2 linked regions of the Lepisosteus oculatus genome follow. The protein of the gene in region 2 interacts with the protein of the main gene of each other region in a pairwise test. Links are inferred from orthologs where the notes say so. Each region holds a gene or a part of one and is shown on either strand. Other genes may lie near its edges.

Evidence for each region. The genes of interacting proteins can lie anywhere in the genome.
Region 1: the proteins of ankyrin repeat and SAM domain-containing protein 1A (region 2) and dok3 interact in a two-hybrid assay, tested with the Homo sapiens proteins (2 studies listed by BioGRID and IntAct). The link is inferred for Lepisosteus oculatus from reciprocal best matches to the Homo sapiens genes ANKS1A and DOK3.

The regions. Positions count from the first base shown.
Region 1 is NC_090706.1:38,037,523-38,041,274, reverse strand, and holds the start of dok3 (docking protein 3), read left to right. Parts: upstream 1-830; 5' UTR 831-1,177; coding exon 1,178-1,234; intron 1,235-2,881; coding exon 2,882-3,187; intron 3,188-3,752. UniProt on the Homo sapiens protein: DOK proteins are enzymatically inert adaptor or scaffolding proteins. They provide a docking platform for the assembly of multimolecular signaling complexes. DOK3 is a negative regulator of JNK signaling in B-cells through interaction with INPP5D/SHIP1.
Region 2 is NC_090700.1:29,936,227-29,939,978, reverse strand, and holds the start of ankyrin repeat and SAM domain-containing protein 1A, read right to left. Parts: upstream 2,576-3,752; 5' UTR 2,151-2,575; coding exon 1,966-2,150; intron 947-1,965; exon of another isoform or gene 925-946; intron 1-924. UniProt on the Homo sapiens protein: Regulator of different signaling pathways. Regulates EPHA8 receptor tyrosine kinase signaling to control cell migration and neurite retraction.

The DNA.
Region 1 (3,752 bases), on a different chromosome or scaffold from region 2:
AAACCTGATTCCCTGATTCTTTTCTTTCTGAGTGATAGTCATAGTTTAATAATGAAAAAGCACATACAGTATGTATGGTAGTTTGTCAAGAAAGCATGCGAGTGTCTTTTGCATGTTTTAGGTGTCACAACGCCTGTTTTCACATGTGAATGAGTGGCACGTGATAACCCAATAGGTTTGAGTTCCGTCTCTTATGTTGAGCTGCTTAGTCCTTGAGGAGTTTGATGGTTCTGGTATTGATTTTGATGTGATTGAGATTGCAGCGGCAGCTTGATACTGGTCTTATCTCAGCTTTTGAGAGCAAAATCGTCCGCTTTGTAGAACTTTGCATGTGCCTTGTAGCTCCCCGATCAAGGCCTACTCTTTACACCAGGGGTCTCTAACTCCTCCAACTCCCAGACCAGCAGTTTTATTAGTAACTTGTTTATATGTAGCAATTTGCCTGTGATAAATGAAATGGATGATCTGGTATAGTAGAATTCATTAAGACCAAAAACCAGAACACTCTTCAATTGAAGTGTTTTTTATCTTTAAAAAATGTGAGTTTGGGGTGACCTCTTTAACTAACTGGAGTGGGGATCTGCAGAACCAGATTTAGAGACCCCTGCTTTAAGCCATACAGTGTTATCCAGACAATGTACTATGTCCATTTCGGAGACTATTAAAAATAAAAAAAGTTTTCCTACTTTGCATTTTCTGAATTAAAACAAGCTTGTTCTTGTTTTAAACCCCAGTAGTGCAAATCGTTGAGAACTGATTTACATTTCTGAGTTGGCCGGTTTTATTTTTAAAAAAGCTGATTTTATTTTTTTACTTCAGAGGGCACGTGAAATGTTTGATGTAGATGGAGTTAACTGGGGGCAGGGCGCATGCAGTGCATAGTTCAGACAGGACCCACAGCTACATTTCAGTTGTAAAACCAAGCGGTGTTCACTGAAAGAGTGATCATTTTCTAGTGGTGGAAAGGAAGCTGCAACCTTTTGTCCTCTTCTCCAACCATTGAAGGGCCCCGCAAGCACGTGACTCCTGCTCGGGGCTATGAAATCAGACCACTGTGTGCTGAAATGCCGTCCTGTCACTGGGAAGTCGCTGCTCGCCCACAGAGGAAGCTGTGCCCTGGACTGTGAGCTCAGGCTGTCAGCCTCGGCGCCCAGCTTGCCTGTGCTTCTGCAGCGCCATGGAACAGCCTGCCAGGGAGGGAATGTTATACATGCAAGGTGCCAAGTTTGGGATGGTGAGTTTGCGCCTCTCACTTGCTTGTTCTGTAGGTATCGGCCCCAAAGTGCAGCTGTAGTTAATGCCTTTGACATGCTACAGTATTTGTCATTTGACTTTAGCATATCAGACATGATTTGGAGTCGTCAGGCTGCTAACTCTTAGGATACCAGTGGATGTAGCTTAAATGAATATTATCCTCCACACTCTGAAGTATCCATTTCTGAGCTTTCATTCACGCAAGGAGCAATACTCATGTTTAATGTTCACGATATGTGCTCTGAGACTGAGAATACAGAGTGAGCATCCTTAGAAAATCTGAGATAAATTTTGCTTCGTTTCTGGCAATTCAGTAAAGAAATGTAAAGGCATTTCTGTTCTGCATCCTATGTTTATTGATAATAAATCCGTACAGTGGGCAAACATAATATAAGGCGTTTGGTTATTCATCAAGTTTTTGTTCACAAATATTTATTATTTCCCTTTTTTATCTGAATTATATTTGTTTTAACTCACATTATGTGAAATGAAATCAAAAACTACCAATCAAAATTCAATCAATAGAGGATCGTAAAACCATGAAGAACAACCCTTATGCGACTTAATGCTTCCATTGCTTTTTTTTTTCATATGGCCAACAGCAATCGTATTAAACATAAAAAATCATGGGCATGATCATGGAATTTGTGTTCTTTACTCTTACTGGGCCAGATCTAAAGTGAGTGTGTGGAGTTTTTGTTTCTGTTTGGTGGTTTAGGGGAATTAAGTTTTTGTTTGAATTTCATAAATGAAACAATGGAGTATTCTTCACATTTCTTATATGCTGCCTTGAGTTCAATTAAAAGAATCCCTAAAAACTCCTGACTTAATATGATGGCCAGTTTTTGGCATTACTTGATGCGTACTCAAGCATAATAACTAATCAGGGCTTTCTTGCCTTTAATATATACAGTTCTTGCTAGTTATCCATTGGAACCATCTGGCCTCATCTAGAATGTGCTGTTGTTTTAAAAAAATCTATGATTTTATATACAATTATGCTGCATCACATTGTCCTTTTGAGATGGTTTATAATCTGGGTTGAGTATCTAATTTTTGTAAACACTTCTCTAACTCACAGGAAACGGCCTGGCTATGAAGAAACATGTCTATTTTCCTGTTTGCTGTCATTAATATGTTCCCTACATCTGTGTTTCTAAGAAGCAGAATTCTGCCTACATTTTGTTGTGAAATAAAATGGACTACTTGTAGATTTTTCTGTTCCAGTTTATTTACTTTGCATAGATCTTTTTTCCACATCTGGTTTTTTAATCAATTAGTTTTTTATAAGTTCCCTTTTTCTGTTATGCTTTCTGATGTTTACAGAAGTTGCTGTTCCTTTCTCGCTGCAGGGTGGAAAATGTGGTCCAATTTGTAGTATTTTTTTTTCTTTCGTGCTGTATGTGTGCAGCTCGTACTGGTTGCCAAGTCTTTGTCTGTTGCAGAATCACCAGTGTGTGCTACAAGAGAGGAATTGAACAAGGGTTAGGTGTAGGCTAGCAAAACAAAGACAGATGTCTGGCACGATAGAAAATGGGGAAACTCCACGGAAGGCACTCTGTGTTTCTCTGTGAAACAAGGCAGTGTCTTTGTCTTTCTCTAAGAGTGCTCTGCTTTATCTGTGCAGAAGAGCTGGAAGAGAACTTGGGTGATGCTCTTCCAGGCCAGCCCCTATGGGATCGGCCGTGTGGAGCTGTGTGACATCAGAGACGGGGGGAGTGGGGGTGTCGCTGCAACAGGGAAGCAGGGCCTGAAGAAGACCGACAAAAAGGTGATTCGCCTGGACGACTGCGTCAGCATCACCTCGGCCCCCCATGAGAGCTGCCCCAAGGACAGCATCGCCTTCTACCTCAACACCACCCAGCGCACGTACACTCTGGCGTCAGAGCAAGCCCAAGAGTGGATCACCAAGCTCTGCCAGCTGGCGTTTCAGGTATGACCCAGCAGAGTGCAACTGGTCTGAGGAAGGGGGCTGCAGTGCAGACTAAAAGTCATGCTTACACAGACTATTCTACCAAGGGTGAAGAAGACTTCTATATAGCCTGGCAATATTAAGGGGTGCTTTATATGTATTGAGAAGCCTACTGTGATAGAATCTATGGACAGTCTCATGTTATATAATAGTAAGGTGCAGAGGCCTTAAACCTATTTTGGTTTATCACATAGCAACGTAAAAGGTCTCTCAACATTTCCTCATCTTCCAGCTGGCATTATTCCGGATAATCATTACAATGTAGAATTGCCAGTACTGTTCTATTTCATTCTAACAACAAAGAAAGTATTTCATAGACTGGAATGTCAAGCAGAACAGAGCCTGGCAGCAAGTTACAGAATGTCTCATGTATAGATGAGACCAGTTATACACCATGGTTGTCTGAATGATCAGTGTTTAACCACAATCTGTTGCTTGATTAAAGCCCACGTTAGTGGTCAAATATGCTGAACTGCAGGGACGTAACTCGCAATATAAGTTATATTTTTCAGATGTGGATTAATTT
Region 2 (3,752 bases):
AGATGCGCTATAACAGGAGTCATAATTTCTTTTACCGCGTTCCCCTTTTTATCAGATAATTCATTCGGTCATCTTTTCGGGGGAGGTAACCGATGAAACGAGAGGAGGTAGCACCTTCATACAGTAACAGCTTTACCATCTTTAGTGTTTTTAAATCTTCTTTCAGGGACACTACTTCCAAACCGTTTAAAAAAACGGTTACCAGAACAGTAAAAGGAAAAGGGGTCTTAATGACTTAATGACTCTTTCGACATGAAAATCTTAAACGAACCTTAAATTGTAAGCGTTAATTTGTCTGAAAGGATTTCGTAATCGAAGCCTGTATCTATATATAGACATCGTCAAGACTCGCCATTGTAAAGATGCTTTGTGCAATATAGCGTTAGGCAACTGTACGGTTTTAAGAGGCACATGCGTTCGGCTATTTCCGTCAGTGTCCAGATTAAATTATTACAGATTAGGAGGAAACACAGTTACTGAAGAACAGACGCTTAAAGAACCACTTAACAGACACGAAAACGGCTCTCTTTCCTTATCAGAAATGAATTTCGCTGCACCCTCGTTCAGCTTCTCCGATTTAAGTTTCTGATGAAATTAAACTGCAGTTTTCTACCTCCTTTCAATGTTTAATTACATTTTCTGCAATTAAAAGAGGTGACGCGTTAGCTGCTTGGAGTTAGGTTTCGAAGTCAGGTCGGTGACACACGCCTGCAGGGTGGCTCAGCTCCGCGCTTGCTAAGGCTGTGAGAGACTACGGGCGTCTTTTTTAAATGCACACTGTTCGTATTTACAGTACACATCTCGCCGAGAGCGCTCAGGAGAAGGAGGAGGAGTGCAATTCACACATGCTGGACTACTAGGAGTATGAATGACCGCAGCACGGACAGCTCCTTGCACGCCGGACGCAGTGCCCCTCTCCACACCCTCGCCCCTCCTGCGCGCCCAGGTACCGCGGGGGAGTCCAGTCCACCCGGCCCGCGCACCGGTGAAAACCCACAGAACAGAAAACGTTTCAGTCCCAGATTTCACGCGTGGAAAAACGAGCGGCATCGTAGACGTTTTCGCGTTGTTTACTGATATTGTTTTAAAAAAGATGCAAACTCGAAAGTGTGCACAAACAACACGAAACCACAAAACAAACGACCGGGGAAGCATATACAAAACAGCAAAACAGCGCAACGAAGGCAAAAATAATCATGACCTATTTCTTGGTCGGTGTCTGATATGTTAAAGGGATTATAACGTCTCTTCGTGTTGTGACGCTCTTCTGTTGTCTCTTGTATTTTTCATCAGCTTCATGGGGAAATAATTGTCAGGTGTTCTTAATATCGCACGTCAAAATTAATCGAAGTGGGTGCCTTGCGATCAACTACACAAAAGAAAAAAATGACAGTAGCGATATCTTGCGACATCTGCATAAACCCAACCAAATTTGTCACACGTTTTTCCCACGAACTGATTTCGAGCATATCAAGCGCCAAACAAAAGACGGATTCCCTTGCAGTGTGCACCAGCCCGTAATGTGTTATTAAACATGGCGAGGTAAGGAAAGGGAGGTCGACTTCTTGAAATGTGGAAGCAAATATTCAAAGAATGTTTGCCCGGCGCAACCCGATAGCAAAGGTGTGCTGAGGTCCGCGTCAGAGACAGGAGAGTTGAGGGGAAAAAAATATTTGCAAAGACGTGGGCTGAACTGGGTCTATCAGATCGTTTGTTATCGGCTCAAAACTGTATTTGTCCAAGAAAAAAACGATTAAATCTTGGGGGGTGTGCTTTGGACACCCAGGGTTACGCTTAGGCATTCTGAAGACTCACTCTTTCACCCACTCAATAATAATCTTCAAACCGCGTTTTGCACAAACCCCCCCTCCTCCTTCTCTTGCTTTCCTCCTCCACCCGGGCCGGACCCCTTCTCCCTTTCCTTGTACCTGCACCGGCAGGTCCGGTCTTCCCCCCACCTCTCACCTGAGCAAACTCGAAAGCGGGTGAGATGAGGAACTGTGACCGCCGCCTCCTCCGCCGCCGCTCCCTCCGCCTCCCGAGGACCCTCCACCGATCCCCGCCGACTGCCGCTTGCCGGATAGCAGCTTCTCGACGGCGGCCAGATTCCCAGTGCGGGCAGCCTCCAGGAGCTCCTGCTCCTTCCCCATCTCGGCTCGAGAATGGAGCCAAAGAGGGAGGCACACGCAAGGCAGCGGCTCAGGCGATTCCCTTTCAGCCTGGTGTCCCAGAGGCCAAGACGCGTATCCAGGCTCCAACAGCAATGCTCCCACTGACAATAATCCTCCACAGTTGATCGATGTTTTTCCTCGCGGCAACTCGCGCCCCGGATCCCTGCTCCACTCCGCCGCTCCAGGGAAAGTTTCTTTCAGCACCACCACCGGCCAAACTTCCTCCGACTGCCCCCCCGACACGTCACTTCCTTAGGACAGCCTCCTCCTCATGATGTCATTTGGTTACTTTCCAACGTCATTTCACAACAGCCCCATTACCCCATACCTGGTACAACCGGTAGTGAAATCCTATCACCCACTACCTCCCCCACAAGTCTGGATTTAAGTCACTTTAATAATGCGCTGAGAATGCCAAGAATTGCAAGACAATCGCATTTCGTTTTAATGCAGCTCAGCACAAAGAAATAAATATTCGTATCAGTTTCTTTGTGTCGGAAACAAATCAGATGTAACACGTTAAATGTATCAGAATGTATTTAGATGTGTCTACAAATTAAAGGAACTACCAAACACGAGAAAACAATATTACCACATACACTTCATTAACTATAACGGATATCCGCTATTAACAAGTGTAAGTCAGATAGGGCTGTTCAGCCTGCAAATACTGAAATAAATTGATATGTGGGGGACTTTTATTTGGGTGGGCAAAATTGCGGAGCATAGCACGCGTGGGCTAGAGCCCTTAAGTGTAGTCTAAGAGGCTGTGGTTTTTGCTTATGTAGACGTTATCTCTGAAGCCAGTAATGGAGCTGAATCCTAAACAGGTTGAGCTTCTATTTGTGAGAAATACATTTTAATCGACACGGTTTGTTCCAGGTATAGCTCGTGAAATGGATTTTGTCGGGTAGGGTGACTTTAAACTCTCCTGCCCCACCCAAGCTCAGTCCTGGTACCGACCTGCCTGGATGTCGGATATTCTTCTGTGCTGGGGTGTCTTCTCTGTGGAGTCAGCAGGTTACTCCTGTGGGCTGTTGCGTGGTGTGCCTGCCAAGTTAGACTTAGGGTAGGAGAGCAAAAAAATAATCAATTGCTTATTTACAGGAGGCAACTTTATTTCCTAGTTTTATATTTAACCGTTTGTTATGTTCTCCTAAAATGTATTATCCAGATAATGGAATTTGAAGGCTTTGCCCTCCTCCGCACTAAAATTCCGTTCCCATGGTTAATTCCTGTAGTGCAGTTCCATAGTCATATGTAGAAAAGCAATATTTGAATACAGTCTGCTGAGTTTCAGACAGCAGCTTCCTTACTAATGCAGTTATGGCACTGATCAGGTCACTTCACTTCAAATGCGGTTGTTCATTAAAAGATTCTTCATCTTTTTCTGTACGCCCAGCAAACCCAACACCCCTGGCAGACCAGCTGTTTCTTGCGTTTTCTTCTCTTCCCGGGTCGGGATCTCAATATGTTCTGCTCTTTGTTCAACGCCATGACATTTACGGGACCGTTTAACTAAATGTGTTTCAAATTGGCCACATGCTCTCAGCAGAGTTCTATTTGCTACAATTACAATAT